Linked DNA regions of Diceros bicornis minor. The protein of the gene in region 2 interacts with the protein of the main gene of each other region in a biochemical or structural test. Links are inferred from orthologs where the notes say so. Each region holds a gene or a part of one and is shown on either strand. Other genes may lie near its edges.

What was found.
Region 1: the proteins of PTX3 (region 2) and FGF2 form a complex in vitro, tested with the Homo sapiens proteins (3 studies listed by BioGRID and IntAct, with this or other methods). The link is inferred for Diceros bicornis minor from reciprocal best matches to the Homo sapiens genes PTX3 and FGF2.

Annotation. Positions count from the first base shown.
Region 1 is NC_080750.1:15,952,354-15,960,638, reverse strand, and holds the start of FGF2 (fibroblast growth factor 2), read right to left. Parts: upstream 3,340-8,285; coding exon 3,240-3,339; intron 1-3,239. UniProt on the Homo sapiens protein: Acts as a ligand for FGFR1, FGFR2, FGFR3 and FGFR4. Also acts as an integrin ligand which is required for FGF2 signaling. Binds to integrin ITGAV:ITGB3.
Region 2 is NC_080754.1:63,620,049-63,628,497, reverse strand, and holds the start of PTX3 (pentraxin-related protein PTX3), read right to left. Parts: upstream 3,290-8,449; 5' UTR 3,228-3,289; coding exon 3,098-3,227; intron 2,651-3,097; coding exon 2,249-2,650; intron 1-2,248.

The DNA of each region.
Region 1 (8,285 bases), on a different chromosome or scaffold from region 2:
GAAACAAAAGATATTTGTGTCTACTAATACGCACGTTTTGTGCCACATTGAAAAGTTTACTATGATAAAAAAATACACTTCTAGAAATTATGAAATGTATTTATAAATTGCCAATCTACTATAGGATGCTAATATATGATAGAAAGATTACAGTTGCCTACTTCCCAGTTTTCACTGGAAAGATTACAAGTAGTTAAAATTTATAGTCAATATGTAAAAAAAAAAAAACTACTAGAAATAATAAGGGTGAAGGAAAATGACTGTATATGAAAAGTAGGCAAGGAAAATAGAATGTATTTTCTGGATAAGGAAAAGTATGCAGGACATGGTTTTTTTTTGTTTTGTTTTTTGTGTGTGTATGTAAAAAGGAAAAAAGAAAGTAATTTTGTCCTAAAATAAAATGATTGCTCCAGAATAAGAAAGGAAAAAGATAGGACAAAACCTAAATGGATATAGAAAGTTGTAGAAGGTTTCTTGTGGAAAAAAACTCCTGAGAAAGGAATTTTATATGTGGTCAAGTTGACTAGGATTGGAATGGATTTATTTAAGTTAAAAAGAAAGAAAAAAAGAGAGTTTTAATATCAAAAGTACACTGGTGCAAAATTAGAATTTGGTTTTTTTTCCGTTCAAAGGACAAAGTTTTCTTAGGTTATTGGTCTGCTCTTAATAAGAAACTATATTGGGGCCGGCCTGGTGGCGCAAGTGGTTAAGTGCGCGTACTCCGCTGCTGCGGCGGCCCGGGGTTTGCCAGTTCAGATCCCGGGCATGAACTGACGCACCGCCTGCCAAGCCATGCTGTGGTGGCGTCCCATATAAAGTAGAGGAAGATGGGCACGGATGTTAGCCCATCAGCAAAAAAAGAGGAAGATTGGCAGATGTTAGCACAGGGCTGATCTCCTCACAAAACAAAATAAAAAAGAAACTATAAACAAAGGTTTTCCTTTACCTTTAATATAATCTGCTGAAGAAACAAAGATTCTGTGTCTTATAAAAATATTTCCTGTGTTTCATGTTTTCTTCATCATGCTTTGATTAATTAGAAAAATCGTCTTCTCTATTAAAAGAGCTAAGGTTTTTTACAACTATATAACTTTCTATATTTGCCTCTGAAATCTTTTGTCACTTTAGTTGAAGGGATAACTAAGTATTGTTTCACAGTGACCTATAATCCTATTTGATCAAATGTTTTAAATTTTTTGACATTTTTAACAAACTTCCTCAAATCAAATTCTGAATGAAGTCTTTTTGATCTTGAACTAACTTTGGGATTTTACAGAAGGCCCCTGGAACATCTCAAAAGATTTGTTTTCTCTCCTCATAAAAGAAAAATATTAAACTAATTGTGCTTATTTGATATGCTAAATTACATGGGAAGCTTTGTCAAATAAGAAGTGATGCTAAACTTTCTTTAGTTTATATTTGTATAAATATGTTATTAATATAAGTGTTAAAGAAATTATATGAAATTCCTAAAAATCTGATATGTCCTGGTATAATGTTATCAGTCACTATTCTAGTTATTGTTTTCAAGTGTATGTCAGAGAAATAACCAAATTTCCTTGTCAACCACATTATAAGGAACTCCCACAAGATCTTTAACCATGGTCATTTTTAAGTCTTTTGTCATTTACTGACAGTTATTGTTTTACTCTGATGTTTTTGCAAAAATCTTCTTGTGAAGTGCATTTCATCTTCAAAGAGATTCATGGAAAAGATCCTGACAAGTACTCTAAAATGCAGGCTTCTGATAACTGAACTGGATAAGAATTTATAGAATTCTAATGGGAAACTGATTGACTCATAAAGTTGCTAACCCAAGATGAAGCAAAACAAGAATTAATTACAGGAGACTAAATCAACTGATGAAGATGATTATGATTTTTATGAGTTCATTTAAAACATTGCTGATTCTGTAATGTTTTGTTTTCCAGATTTAAAGCATCCCTTTTTCTCCTGTCTTTTAAGCTATCTATAACTCAGGGCAACTTGGTAAAGTGTTTCTTTGCAACAAAAGTTGAAGCATTTATCTTTTTCTTCCTACCTGATTCCTCCAGAATTTAGAAACTCTTATTAAATATTCTTATTTTTCATGAAAATATATGTATTTGCATAAGTTCAATAAGAATCTATTCTCCTTGTAACAGGACACAATTGGACAAGTCCTTGGCTTGGCTTCCTAGCCTCAAGAGGCTTTTGATAGTCCACTCTGAGATTCCTTATGAAAAGTTCCAGCAAAGCAAATTCAAAGGAGCCTATATAGTCAATCACTATTCTTGCTGCACTTATGTAAATAATCAGCCAAGTTTATTCAAACTAGAATTAATTTGCAAACAAATTAGTCTTACTATGGTTATCTTTGATAGAAATGGGAATGATCATAAGGAGAAAAATTATATTTCAGAAATACATCTTGGTGGATATCAGATTCTAGTACTGTTAATTGTCTTTGAGGTTTTCTTTTCTACCTGTAACCTGGACTGGATCCTGAATTCTTCTAGTTCCCTCCAGTATTTGGCTAGAAATTTCCAAACTAAAATTTCCAATTTTCTCCCATTCTTTCAACCTGGAATCACTATGAAACTAAAACTGCCCTTTTCCAGAAGCCATGCCAGCTATAGCTGGACATATTGATATAAACTTCAGAGAAATCATCACTTGTGTGTGGACAATCTTCGTGCCTGTTGCTATGCGGCCACTCAGAAAGATGGCCAGAGACATTCACCCTGCAAACCAGGAAAATCTGTCAGATTGACACTGCTTGCCTTGCTCCACCTGAAGAGGCTTAGACACTGACATTTAGAAATCTTTTCAACTGGCTGCTTTCCAAACTCAGAAACTGAGTTTATAATTTGCTCCAACTATTAACCTTTGTTTTTCTTTTGTTTCCACAGAAATGCCTCTCACTAAATTACCTGATTGCTCACATCATATAGAGACCTAATTGAAATGAAAGCTCACCTGTATCACCACTTCCTGAAATAAAACATCCTCACATTCATCTTGTCCTAAGTAATCATGAGGATATGTGTTTGCTAATACATCATGTTATGTTCATGTAAATAACTTAAAAAAATCAAAACTCATGTGATTTATTTAGTTGTTTAAATCTTGGCTCCTAGAAATCTCTGCTTCAGGAATTTTTCAGTCCTTGGCTATTGTTCTCCTTATAGTAGTCATATTAACCCTCTAGTACGTCGTATACTCTCAAGGGTTTTAAATGTCTGTCAGCAGCCACTCACACGCCAAATGGTACCCATCAGGATCAGACAACAGGGTGAAAGCAATAACCACATATGGGGCCAGCTCTGTGGCATAGTGATTGAGTTCGGAGCGCTCCATTTTGGCAGCCCAGGTTGGTGGGTTTGGATCCTGGGCGCGGACCTACACCACTCATCAGCCATGCTGTGGCAGTGACCCACTTACAAAATGGAGGAGGATTGGCACAGATGTTAGCTAAGGGCTAGTCTTCCTCAAGCCAAAAAAAAAAACAAAACAGAAAGATTGGCAACAGATGTTAGCTCAGGGCAAATCTTCCTCAGCAAAAATAATAATAATAATAATAATAACCACATAAATGACAAAGACAGTGACTACATGGCCCTCCGGCCTGACGACTCAACTAGCGGAAACAGTGAATATGTGATTCTCTGGCCTGACTACGTCAATGGTCATAACCAAGAATAACGCTAAACTAGTTGGTCATTCTCTCAGCCTGCTGAGAGAATGACCAAAAGGGGGGAATTGTTAAAATCAAAAACAAATGGAGATCATCCTTGAAAATTCCCTGAGCAGACAAAACCAGTTTAATCATACAAGCGAAGCCTAATTTAGCTTATTTTGCAAGACTAACTTGCCCCGGGTCATTTCTTGCTTATGCCTCTGGAAATTACAAGCAAAACTTGAACTGTTTCCCAAGGTTGATATGAAGTAAGCACTGAAGATGCTAATATTATAACCAATCACTGTGAAGATAAATAGTCACTACTTCTCACTATATAAACTGCTTTATAACACTACACCCCTGAGCCTCAGTTCATGTTTTTGTTTGAATGTTCCTCGTTTGCAGACTGTCTTTTTGTTGTGTATACAATAAACTTTTACTAATTACTACTTCAGTGATTCGCTGGTTTTACTTCTATTATTTCTGAACTTTTGACAAGGCAGACATCCCACGTTATTATTTAAAGATAGAATCATGAGCTTCAACAGTCAGCCAACCAAGAGATTTGTGTCCTATTGAGAAAGTATGAGAAGCCTAACCAGGAGACATGTCTCTTTACGGAGGTAGGATTAGGGACTGTCTGCCAGCAGGCCAAGAGTCCTTAAACAATATTGTGGTAGATTGCATTATTGGCTTCAATTCTTCACCTCTTATTGTTACTTGGAGTTTTCCCTGTGACTTAGTAGTTCCTCCTACTAAAGGTGAACTTGGCTATTCCATTGGCTTGGGTGGAAGTGACAGTACGTCAGTTCTGAACCTAGACCTTCAGAGATCCTTCATATTTTTGCTTGTTCTCTTGTGCCTATGCCATTGCCATGAGATAAACTTACTTTAGGTAGCTGCTGCCCCTTCAGTCTGGGCCTCAGAATAAACACATTTTGAGCAGAGCTGTTTCTACCTATCTGCGACTTGTAGCATGAGGCAGAACCAGGTGTTGCAGTCAGAGGCAAAATGTCTCTAGCCACTTCACAGATCCATGAGCAAAATAAATGCTTTTGTTAAATGCCACTGAGATTCTTTTGTGGTTTTTTTGTTACACAGCAATAGCTGACTGTTGCATTTGTGCTAGGTCAATTTCCAACATATGAACAAATAGAAAATGGAGGTTCCAAATTTTTACCCCATAGAATATGGCAATGATAATTTCAGCTTGAAAAGTTTTTAAAGCAAGTTTATCGAGCACCCACTTTGACCACAAAAATATATTAAGAAAGTACCAAATAGAATGTCTACTTACCATTAAACAATGTAAATTCTTGGTGAAGCTTTGAATACAATAACAGTAGCAACTATATTTTTTTAAGGCAAAGTGAGCCAGGTATTACACTACACACATTACATTAATTACCTCATTTCACTTTCATCAGTTATGCAAGGTAGATGGTAAAAATGCAAACTCCTGTCAGTGAATGTTGGCCAACCAATAGTTACTTAAAACAGTTAACTTGCAAATTCCCCTTAACTAACAAAATCTTTGGATGTTCTCCATTCTATTATTAACTAAAGAAACTCGGAATCAAATAGGCATAACTCTCTGAGGTTTGGAAACCATCCTTGTCAGGTCACCTTGCCTGCAGAAATAAGACTTAATATCACTACTTCCTCTTGCAAATATTTTCTGGGCCTATGACAACTTTTAGTAGTTTCCATCCTTGACCTGTTAGTGTTACGGTAATTTTATTGCAGTGACCAGAACTGGAGATGTTTAGTCTATTGGCATTCTAACTTACCTGAATGAAAAGTCAAGTCATATTTTGTTTGGGCTTCAATGAACCTATTCACTCGATGGAAGTTAGTCTAGTCTTTTTGTATTGATGTAGATTGAAAAACACGGGCATGCGCTTTTTTTGCAACTCATCCTATCAAGAGGAGGAATCTATTCCCCACCCCTTGAATCTCGGCTGTTCTCATCACTTGCTTTGACAAAAAGAATGTGGTAGAAGTGAAGTTGCGTGACTTCCAAACTAGATCTTAAGCTTCTGCCTTGGGTCTCTGGGAATGCTGCCCAAGAGGGACATGTAAGGCAGCCAGTCTAGCTTACCGAGGATGAGAGGCCAATGGAGAACTAATTGCCCCAAGAGATAGCCAGATCCAACTGCCAGATACGTGCCTGAGGCTATCTTGGACCTTCTAGCCCAGCTGATCCCAGCTGTATGCCCAGGCAAAACCAGCAGAGGAGCACCCACCCAACACACAGAATCATGAGAAATAGTAAGTGGTTGTTGGTTTAAGCTGCTAAGTTTTGGGGTGGTTTATTACACGGAAATATACAATACAGAATATACTCATACTTTTCCTTCTTATTCTTAGTAGCATAGTGGAAAATATTAGATAATTTGGAAAAAAGTAGTGAACTAAGGAGAACAGGCAGTGAGTAAATTCTATGCAGATGGATCACACAGCTTTATTTCACAAACAGGAAAGGGGACAAATGGAGCAAGTCTCATTGCAGATGAGAGGAGATGAGTGACTTCTGCAGATCAGGGAGGTAACCAGCAAGTTGTAGGGGGACGGCTCTGCCACGGCACCCTCGTGACCCCGCACATATCCAGATAGGCCAGGTTTGGACTGTAGCCTGTCCTAAGTCTTGGCAGATCCTCCTTGCGGTCTTCCTGGAACACCACAGCACGGAGGCTTGTGAGGAGTTGCTACCAGGACATGTCTCACTCGCTTCCCTGTCTGTCAGGGAGACTGACATAAGACAGTTTCTCATCGCCTCCCAGGTTCTGATGAGGTGTGAGGCATTCTGCCTCGCCCACCTTAGACAGAACGTCAGGCTATAAAACCATTTAGTTGCAACCCGGAACTCCCTGCTTGGCCACAGAGTGTACTGCAACTCGCTCTGCAATCATCTGGCCCTTTTGTTGCATGTCATCCTTTTTGGTCTGTGGAGCCAGGACCACGGGGAACTGGCATCTTTAGCTACTCTTCCTTTAGTTGTCCATGTAAGTAATAAACCATCTAAAGCTAAAAAGGGCTCGTTGTGTCTTCACTGGCCCAAACTGGCAGGGCTTGGCCGTGGCCTTGCCTATTGTGTGCTTGACACAGGTCAGTAATGAAATCAAAAGAGCTTGTCATAAAGAATTGGCTGGCGCAGGGAAGGCCCTGAAGTATGGCTCCTGGTGCATAATAGGTACTGAGGTACAGTGGCTAATGCATAGTAGGCACAGCAGTATAATGGATGGTGCATAGTAAGTACTGAGGTACAGTGGCTGGTCCATGGAAGGCACATAAGTGTAGTGGCTGGTGCAAATTAGGCACTGAGGATGAGTGTCCGGTGCATAGACGGTACTGAGGTATAGTGGTACAGAGCCAGAGCTGACGGCCTAGTGGTTCAAGTGCGGCACGCTCCACTTCAGCAGCGGGGGTTCAGTTCCCGGGTGCGGAACCACAACACTCATCTGTCAGTAGCCATGTTGTGGCAGCAGCTCACATAGAAGAACTAGAAGGACTTACAACTAGAATATACAACTACGTACTGGAGCTTTGGGGAGGGAAAAAAAAAAGAGAGGAAGATTGGCAACAGATGTTAGCTCAGGGCCAATCATTCCCTTCCCAAAAAAGAATTTCTTTAAAAAAAAAAAAAGAATTAAACAAACAAAAAAACCCATAATTCTGTAGTTAAGGTGGGGTGAAGATCTGACACATTTTCTGAAGTACAAGAAAGAGGATTGCCTTTTTCCTCCTTTGATCTTCTTCAAAGTGTAGGGAACACAATGACAGCCACAGTAGAGGAAAATGAAAACAATAACTGCAAAATTAAATAGGAATTATATGCTTTATCAATTTAGGTTTATGTGATTTCTAGATTGATTTGTATGAGTTCTTTATATAGTAAAGACACTTTCTTGTTGTATTTGTTGAATATATGTTTTCCCAGTTTGTTTACTTTGGGGGCTTTCTGAAATCTGGATTTCTACATTTTTACATAGCTAGATCCATAAATCTTTCATTCAGCACTTCCTTCATCTTTTCTAATTTAAAAAGTTCTCCCTACTCCAAAGGCTTGAGCAATATCTGTTTTTTTTTTTTCTATGACAAAAAATATTTAATTCTTCAATCCTCCCAGAATTTGTTTTGGTAGGTGGTTAAAGGTCAGCCTCAACTATTTTTTCCTAACTAGCTAATGAAGTTTCTTTTTTTTTGGTGAGATTAGCCCTGAGCTAACATCTGTTGCCAATCCTCCTCTCTTTGCTGAGGAAGACTGGCCCTGGGCTAACATCCCTGCCCATCTTCGTCCACTTTATATGGGATGCTGCCACAGCATGGCCCGACAAGTGGTGTGTCAGTGCGTGCCTGGGATCCGAACCCGTGATCCCTGGGCCACCGCAGCGGAGTGTGTGCACCCAACCACTACGCCACCGGGCCGGCCCTTTTTTTAAATTAATTAATTAATTAATTAGTGAGGAAGATTAGCCCTGAGTTAACATCTGTCGCCAATCCTCCTCTTTTTTTTGCTGAGGAAGACTGGCCCTGGGCTAACATCCGTGCTCACCTTCCTCCACTTTATATGGGACGCCACCACAGCATGGCTTGACAAGCGGTGCGCTGGTACACGCTAGGG
Region 2 (8,449 bases):
AAAGACTAACTGTTGAATGGAACTTGCAGGAACCAAACATCCACGCAAAGTGTGGTCAACGAAGCTAAACGTGGGCAAGGGGCGGAGGGCTAGGCTCTGTCCTGAAAAACTGGAGCAGATGGGGACCTTATCCTTTAGTAATAGTCAAAGAAATAGTGAGATTCAGAAAATCCTCTGAAAGTAACTACAATACTAAAGCGCAAAATTGGTCCCGTCACACTTCGGTATTAACTTTTTTACTGAATAATTTGAATTTTTGAAGATTTTTTAAAATTAATTTTTAATAAGACATTGATTTTTTTCCTCAAATGAAATTGGTAGGTGCATTTAAATCAACAAACTGGATTAATTAAATCAAACAAAGATCATGGAACAAAAGATCAGCATATGCATGGGCATTTGAGATATTCTCTGTAATGTTTCAGTAAAGTAGTGTTCAAGAGGGCGCCTACTGCAATCTAATTAACTGATTTCCTGTTTAAATAAGCCCAGGCGGTCAGCATTGCATTCCAAAGCATTCCTCCATTGCCTCTCCGAGACCCAGCTTCCTCTGCGGGCTGCGCTGGCTGTGTGAGTTCATGGACTGGAACTGCATGGGGGCAGGGTTTTTGTGGCTTCTTTTGGGGACCAGTAATTGAGTCTCTTGACATCTCTTTAAAATATCAGAAACTGTCACACGAAATGGCTTTTAACTAATAGATTTTTCTGATTATATTATCAAAGACCAAACAAAATGAAAACCAGGTTCTTAGGAGGCCGACAACAGAATGATTAGAAATCCTTTAGGAGCCAAGCTGGCAGGAAACCAAGGGAGGAGAAATCAAAGCATGTGGGTAAAGTAATATTGGATGTAATAAGAAATTAACATTTTAGAATTCAGAAATACATCTTTCTTCTGCTCTAACTAGTATTCACAAGTGAAGATGAAAATTGCATAATTCTTCAGTTTTTTGGTTCTATGTACAATGACTATACCTAGTTTGCAAAAGACAAGAAATTTCATCCATTAAAATAGCCACAGGGCCGGCCCTGTGGCTTAGCGGTTAAGTGAACGCGCTGTACTACTGGCAGCCCAGGTTCGGATGCCGGGCGCACACCAACGCACCACTTGTTCGGCCATGCTGAGGCCGCGTCCCACATACAGCAACTAGAAGGATGTGCAACTATGACATACAACTATCTACTGGGGCTTTGGGGGAAAAAAGGAGGAGGAAGATTGGCAATAGATGTTAGCTCAGAGCCCGTCTTCCTCAGCAAAAAGAGGAGGATTAGCATGGATGTTAGCTCAGGGCTGATCTTCCTCACACACACACACAAAAAAAGTTATATTTTCTTACCTAGGACACTGATTTTCTAATATAAACGACAAATGATGGTTGCATCACCATTTCTTAGAAATTTTGCTTTCTAAAGGAGTGTCACCTGGTTCCAAATCTTCTCTATTTCTTTTAACCATCTTTAAAATGTATTATTTCGGGCCCACACGTGTTTGGAGATTCCAGTAGTACCACATGGACTTTGGCAAGATGCATCTAGTCTGAACCGCCTCTCTCCTGTTTGGCCGTGATCCTCCAGATCCCTGGGGTGGGGCCAGGGTACCAACTGGCTCCCACATCTGCCTCTTCCACTGTGGATCCCGCAACGGCCGGTTTATCCCAAGCCGCAGATCATCGGACCTCCACTCTCGCGCTAATTCTACAGACCTCCGGGGGCTGGGGGACCCCTCAGGAATTCCACTAACTCCTCCGGGAGATCAGCTTCGTCCCCAAGTCTCTTGCTCAGCAACAGCGGGGAGGTGGGGCCGGCCCAGGGATTGGAAAACGTCTCTAAAAGTTAGGCTGGGCCTGAAATAGCCCGAGGAACCAGAGCTCCCCGCAAAAGGCAGACAGGTTAAAGTTAGAAGTGGAAATCCCTAACGGAGAGAAGCCGGCCACTGAGAGAGGTCACGGTTATAATCGGTCAAGGGAGCTCCTGCGACGCCTGGTGGGATCGGGTGTCAGTCACGGGCCCTTGCTGTCTATTTCAAGACTATGGTGGTTGCGTGCACAGCGATCTTCTGGGTTCCTCGGGGCTGGAGAATACTTTTTAAAGCCAGTTTTCCCGCCTAGCATGGTGTGTCTGAGCTCTCTGACCGTCATGGAGAAGCAGAGGTCCGTATGTGTGTTTCCCCTATTAAAGCGTCCCCCAGCGGGTTGCCTGACTTGGCTTCCCGCAGAGCGCTCCGAGAACAAAGCCGCAGGGTCCTTACCTGCGGGCAGCCAGCGCCCGGCCGCCCAGCCCTGCACGGCGCGGAGGTCCGCTCGCGTCTGCCGCAGCTCCTCGAGCACGGCGCCCAGGGCCCGCCCCGCCTCCTGCGGGCGCTGCGCCCCGGCGCCCTCCAGGCGCGCCAGCCTGCGGCCCGCGTCTCGGCTCGCCCGCAGCAGCTCGTCCAGCGCGCCGGCCAGCCCGGCCTCCGCGGGGGCCGCGGGCGCGCACGGCCCCGCCAGGCTGCCGGCCAGCCGGCCCAGCTCCGCCCGCAGCCTCTGCAGCTCGCCCCGGAGGACGTCGTCGGTGGCCTGCAGCAGCATGCCCTCCCTCATCTGCGAGTTCTCCAGCATGGTGAAGAGCTTGTCCCACTCCGAGTGCTCCCGACGGCAGTCGCACGGCGTGGCTAGAGCGCGGGACACAACACACGTTACCGACCCGCCCAGGCCTTCCTCGGGTGTGCTTTGTAAAAAGCTGACCTCCCTTGGCGGTCCCAATTCACAGACCATCCCCAGCACCCCCCTTCCCCTTAAGGACGCTTCCGAAAAACAGCGTATAAGTATCTTGAGAATGACAGAAACCATTCATGCAGGTATATATTTAGTTGAACTCTTATGAAATTGCCGTAGCTCAGAAGAGGCAAATATCGGCGATTTCATACAGTTCAACCTATTGTGTATCTGTGACAGAAACAACTTTTTGAAACCTCCCGCTTTCCTAAAGTGCTTCTCTCTTTTGCGAAACTTTAATTTTTAGCTTATTTCATTGGCTACGAAGTATATGTATACTATTTAGACCCAAAGAGGTGGATATGTAATTAGGGTTAGCAGAGAAACAGTTAAAATGAACTTACGGTCCTCAGTGGGATGGAGTCCATTGTCTATTTCGTTGTCCAGATTCACATACATGAGCTCATAATCGTCCGAGTTCTCGGCCGACACTGCAGACCAGAGAGCGCAAAACAGAATCGCAGCGAGGAGCATTGCTGGAGAGACGAAGTTCTTCCCACAGCTGGCGGGAGGGGACGAGGCCAGAGGCTCTCCAGTGAGCGGAGAAGGAGCGAGGCGAGTGAGACGCAGGAGGCGAGAGCCCTTAATAAACGCTGGGAGAGTCTGAATGGGGATGAATGAGTAATGCCGGTGGCACTGCGGTAACGGGAGTTCCCCTGGATTTGGGGGGCGGGGGCTGGCGGGGAGGGCGAGGGAAACGTGGACGTTGCACAATAGTAAAGCGCAAAAGTTTACACTGCAGATTAATTGGAGGAGGGTCAGAGGGGAAAGAGGGGGGAGAACGGGGCTGCGACTGTCCTCTGAGGACTGGCTGTTGTAACTGGAATTGGTAGCCCTGAGGGATGAAAGGGCGGGAGGCGGGTTAGGGGGAGAAATAGCAGGCGTAGAGGTGTGAAGCAAGAGCATATTTCAGCATTTGTGTGCACTTTTGTTATTTCACACCCTTTATGTACAGAAAACTTTTTTTCACTTTTCCTTTGTACATAGTTTTACAGGTCTAAGCTGAGAAAGTTACTCTCTGATTCCAAGATAAACCAACACAGTAAGAATTCCTATGGCTCTAGAAGCCAAGTCCATTCCGACTCATTTCATCTTGAATCCTTCTGGAATTGCAACTATACTTTTATAAACACACTTTTTAAATGACAAACAATATGGCAAAACTGGTAAACCTAAAAAGAGAAAGAGCTGGGGGAAAGGAATAAACTGATTTTAGGTATGTTTCTTTTCATAACCTGATATTAAGTGGAAATTATATTATTTCACTAGGCTTAAAGATCATATTTTTAAGTAAATTTAGGGTAAATTCTGCCAATATATGGGGTCTGTATAAGCTGAAAACTCTCCCGCACAAAACACCTAGAAATGTATTTACATAATAAAAATAATAAAAACTTTAAATGCACAAATGAGCTCCCAGTAAAGTCAGGGAAGTGTCCAGGGGCCAAAGACAGAGGTGGAACCACATCAGAAGGTGAGCCCAAGAGCTGCAGCTAGGGCTCCCCAGGAGGCGAGGGGAGGAGGTGGAGGTTATTAGGGCCTGATTAACTAAGTGTTAATGACCATGTAGGGGCAAAGCTTAGGCCAGCTGAGGAGTTACAGGTGAGACGGGCGCCTAAAGCTGGACCCTCAGTGAGCTGCGCATGGGATTTCAATAGGCACAGCCCCACTCTGCCTCAGCACAAGCAAGTGAGAAGTAAGCTTGTCTCTCTGACTGAACTCCACGGGGTCGCTAAGAGTTTGTGACTTTGGGCCTGCCCACACAAATGTTCAAGATTCAAATGTATACTGTCTGCCACAGTAAAAATAAATTCACAGTAAAAAAGATGTAAACATATGAGGAAACAACTCACCATAAATCAGAATCAGCAGAAACCAAAAAGGATTAGACACTTCTCCCCCAAGAACTTCATTTATTTAAAATGTCATCTAGAAACTAGAAAATAAATGTTTAAAATTATTTAAGATCTACAAGAAGGAATTGGAAACATGAAAAAAGAAAAAGACGTTGTCAAAAGAAAAAGACTAGGTAGACTTTTTAAAGAACCAAATACAACTTCTAGAATTTAAAAAAAAGTTAATCAAAATTTTTAAAAACCCTCAAGGAATGGGTTAAATGGCAAAGTAGGCAAAGCTGAAGAGAATATTAAGGAACCGGAAGAAAGATCTAAGGAAATAATCCAAAATGTACTCTTTAAGTTCAGTAAGGTATTCTAAAATCCTTCCATTGTTCAGAGAGGTGATAGAGAAATTAATTAATTTTGCTTTGTTAGTTAAGAATGTTTATCTTTTAAAGCACAACCACCAAAACCAAAAGGAAATAGAAGGAATAGAGGGAATTAAAAAAAACCCTGACCTGATCAATAGAAAGCCGTAATGGAGAGAAGAAAAGCATAGACAAAGGTAAATAAAAAGCACAACATAATGTAGTAAAAATAAATCCAAATATTCCAATAATTGCCATCAATATTAATGAAACAAACTTTGCAGTTAAGAGACAAATGTCGACAGATAGGTCTGTCTTTCAAATCCCAAGCTACATGTCACTATAAGAACCACACATAAAACATGAAATCTATAAATGTCTAAAGTAAAAAACTTAAAAGAGGGTAGTGGGGTGGGGAGAATATACCAAATATATAGCATAGCTATATTAATATTAGTCAAAAATAGACTTTAAGGGGCCGGCCCCGTGGCTTGGTGGTTAAGTTGTCAGCGCTCCGCTGCTGACGGCCCCGGTTTGGATCCCGGGCGCGCACCGACGTACCGCTTCTCCGGCCATGCTGAGGTCGCATCCCATGTACAGCAACTAGAAGGATGTGCATCTATGACATACAACTAACTACTGGGGCTTTGGGGGGGGAAAATAGACTTTAAGGCGAAGAGAATAATTAAATTACGATAAAAGAAACACTTTACCAACAAGATCTCTCAGAATTATCTAGTAACATAGTTTTAAAAAATATATATCAAAGATTGACAGAATTATAAGGAGAAATTGACAAATCCATACTCATGGAGGGAGATTTTAGCATACGTCTCTCATAACTGATAAGTCCACTCCGGTCGTAAGTGATCATTCAAATGCCAAAAAAAAACTGCTGAAAAATACAGAAACTTAAACTATATAAAGTTCAATATAATGAAATATATAAAGCATTGTCCAAAAGATTTGATAAGCAGGTTCTATCAAACATTCAAGGAAGATGTAATCCCCATCTTATACAAACTGCTTCTGAGAACAGAGTGTGCAGGAATGTGCTAAATTCTTTTTATATGTGTAGTAAGTATGATACTGAGAAGAGACAAGGACAGTACAAGAAAGGAAAATTGCAGGCCAGTCTCATTTAAGAACATAGATGCAACAGCTCTAAATAAGATGTTAGCCAAACAAACCCAGCAATATATACATAAAAATACATCAGAACCAAGGTGAGTTTTTTCCAAGACTGCAAGATTGATTAAACATTAGAATATCTATTAATTTACTGCATTAATTTTTTACATTTCTTCCATTACATCATATGGTCATGTCAACAGATGGAGAAAAATCATTTAATAAAATTCAGCACTCATTCATGTTCAAACTAGGAAACAGACAGGAACTTAATGGAACTTAATAAAACATAAATACCAAAAACCTATAAAAACATATTCATACATAATGGTGAATTCTTAGAAATATACTCTTTACAAACAGGAATAACAAAAGGATTCCCGTGGACACTGGTTCTGTTCATCAAAGTATTGGAGGTCCCAGCCAGTAAAGTAGGACAAAGACAGAAATACAAGGAATAAGGATGGAAAGAAAAAACAAAGCTATTATCAATGATTACGAGTTGATTACCTACATACAGAAAATCTAAGAGACTCTAAAGACAGATTGTTGATAAGAGACTTGAACAAGTTTTGCTGGATGAAAGATCAACATACAAAAATCAATTGCTTTCTTAATACCAGACGACAAATTGAAAATATCTTAGGAAAAAAACCGTCATTTACAATATCAACAACAAATATGGACTACTTAGGAATCAATTTAATGAAAGATACATACGACACAGCTGATACCACAAGTATTTATTGAAAGACGTAAAAAAAACTACATAGATGGAAATTTGTATCATGTTCTTGAATGGGAAGATTGAGTTTCACAAAGATGTCGGTAATCCCAAGTTAGTCTATATATTCAGTGTGAAAAAACAACATCCTAACTTAGTTTTTCAAGAAAGTTAACAAACTAATGGTAAAATTTATATAAAGGAGCGAAGAAGAATTTGAAGTAGAAGGTGAAGAAATTTGCCCTATGAGATGTAATGATTTATTATAAAGTTATTGAAATTAAGAAAATGTATAATTGGTAAAGGTATGATAAGTACCCAGAAACAGACCCAGACACATGAGAAACCTTAGATATGAAAGAGTTGCTACAAATCAGAAGGGAAACAATTGACTACTCAATAAATGGGGCTGGGACAATTGTTTATATATGCATACACAAAGTATATATTTTGATCCTTTCCTCATATGTACAAAAGTAAATTCCAGATGGGCTAAAGACAAGTGTGAAAAACAAAACCATAATGCTTTTAGGAGAAAATATAGGAGAGTATTTTTATGAACTTGGGAAAAAGAAAGATTTCTCCATAACAAAAAAAATCATAAACCATAAAGTAAATAAATTTTAAAAATCAACTACATTAAGATTGCAACTTTAAAATTTTTAAACAAAAAATTAGTGTCCAGAATAAAGAGGTAAATTCTACAAGTCAATAAGAAAACACAAACATCCCAATCGAAAATAGGCAAAGGATATGAATGGCCAAGTCACAGGAGAGGAAAACATATAAAAAGAGTTCTCAGTCTCATAAGCAATTAAGGAAATGAAAATTAAAACAAAAAAATCAGATATCATCTCACACCCATCAGTTGGCAAAAACCAATGTCTTAAAGACCAAATGTTACCAAGGATGTGGAGCAGCAGAAACACTTGCGCTGCTAGTGGGTGTATAAATTCTTATAATCATGGTGGTAGGCAGAATAATGCCACCCCCCAATGATGTGCAGGTCTTAATCCCCACAACCTGTGAACATGTTGTGTTTCATTGCATTGAAGATGGAATTAAGGTTGCTATATAAAATGGGGAGATAATCCTAGATTGTCCAGATGGGCCCAGTGAAATCACAAGAGCCCTTAAAAGTGGAAGGGAGAGACAGAAGAGGGAATCAGAGGAAGAGGTGTGACACCAGAGGCAGAGGCAGAGAGATGCTATGTTGCTGACTGGAGAAGATGGAGGAAGGGCACCCCAGGAATGCTGGTGTCTCTGGAAGCTAGAAGAGTCAAGGAAACAAATTCCCTTCTATAGCTTCCAGGAAGGACTCTAGCCCTTCCAATGCCTGGATTTTAGCCCAGTGAGACTCATGTTGGACTTCTGAACTACAGAAATATAAGATAATAAATTTGCGTTACTTTGGGCCACTATGTTTTTGGTAATTTCTTATGGCAGCGATCGAAAACTAATACATTCACTTTGCAAAGAAATTTGGAACATCTAGAAACTTAACTCCCAGAAACATAACCACTGCTTTGCTATTTAATTATGTGGTCTAGGGACCATTAGCATTACCTGAGAACTTGTTAGAAATTCAGATTCTCAAGCTCTACCCTCAACCTGCTGAATCAATATCTAACAAGA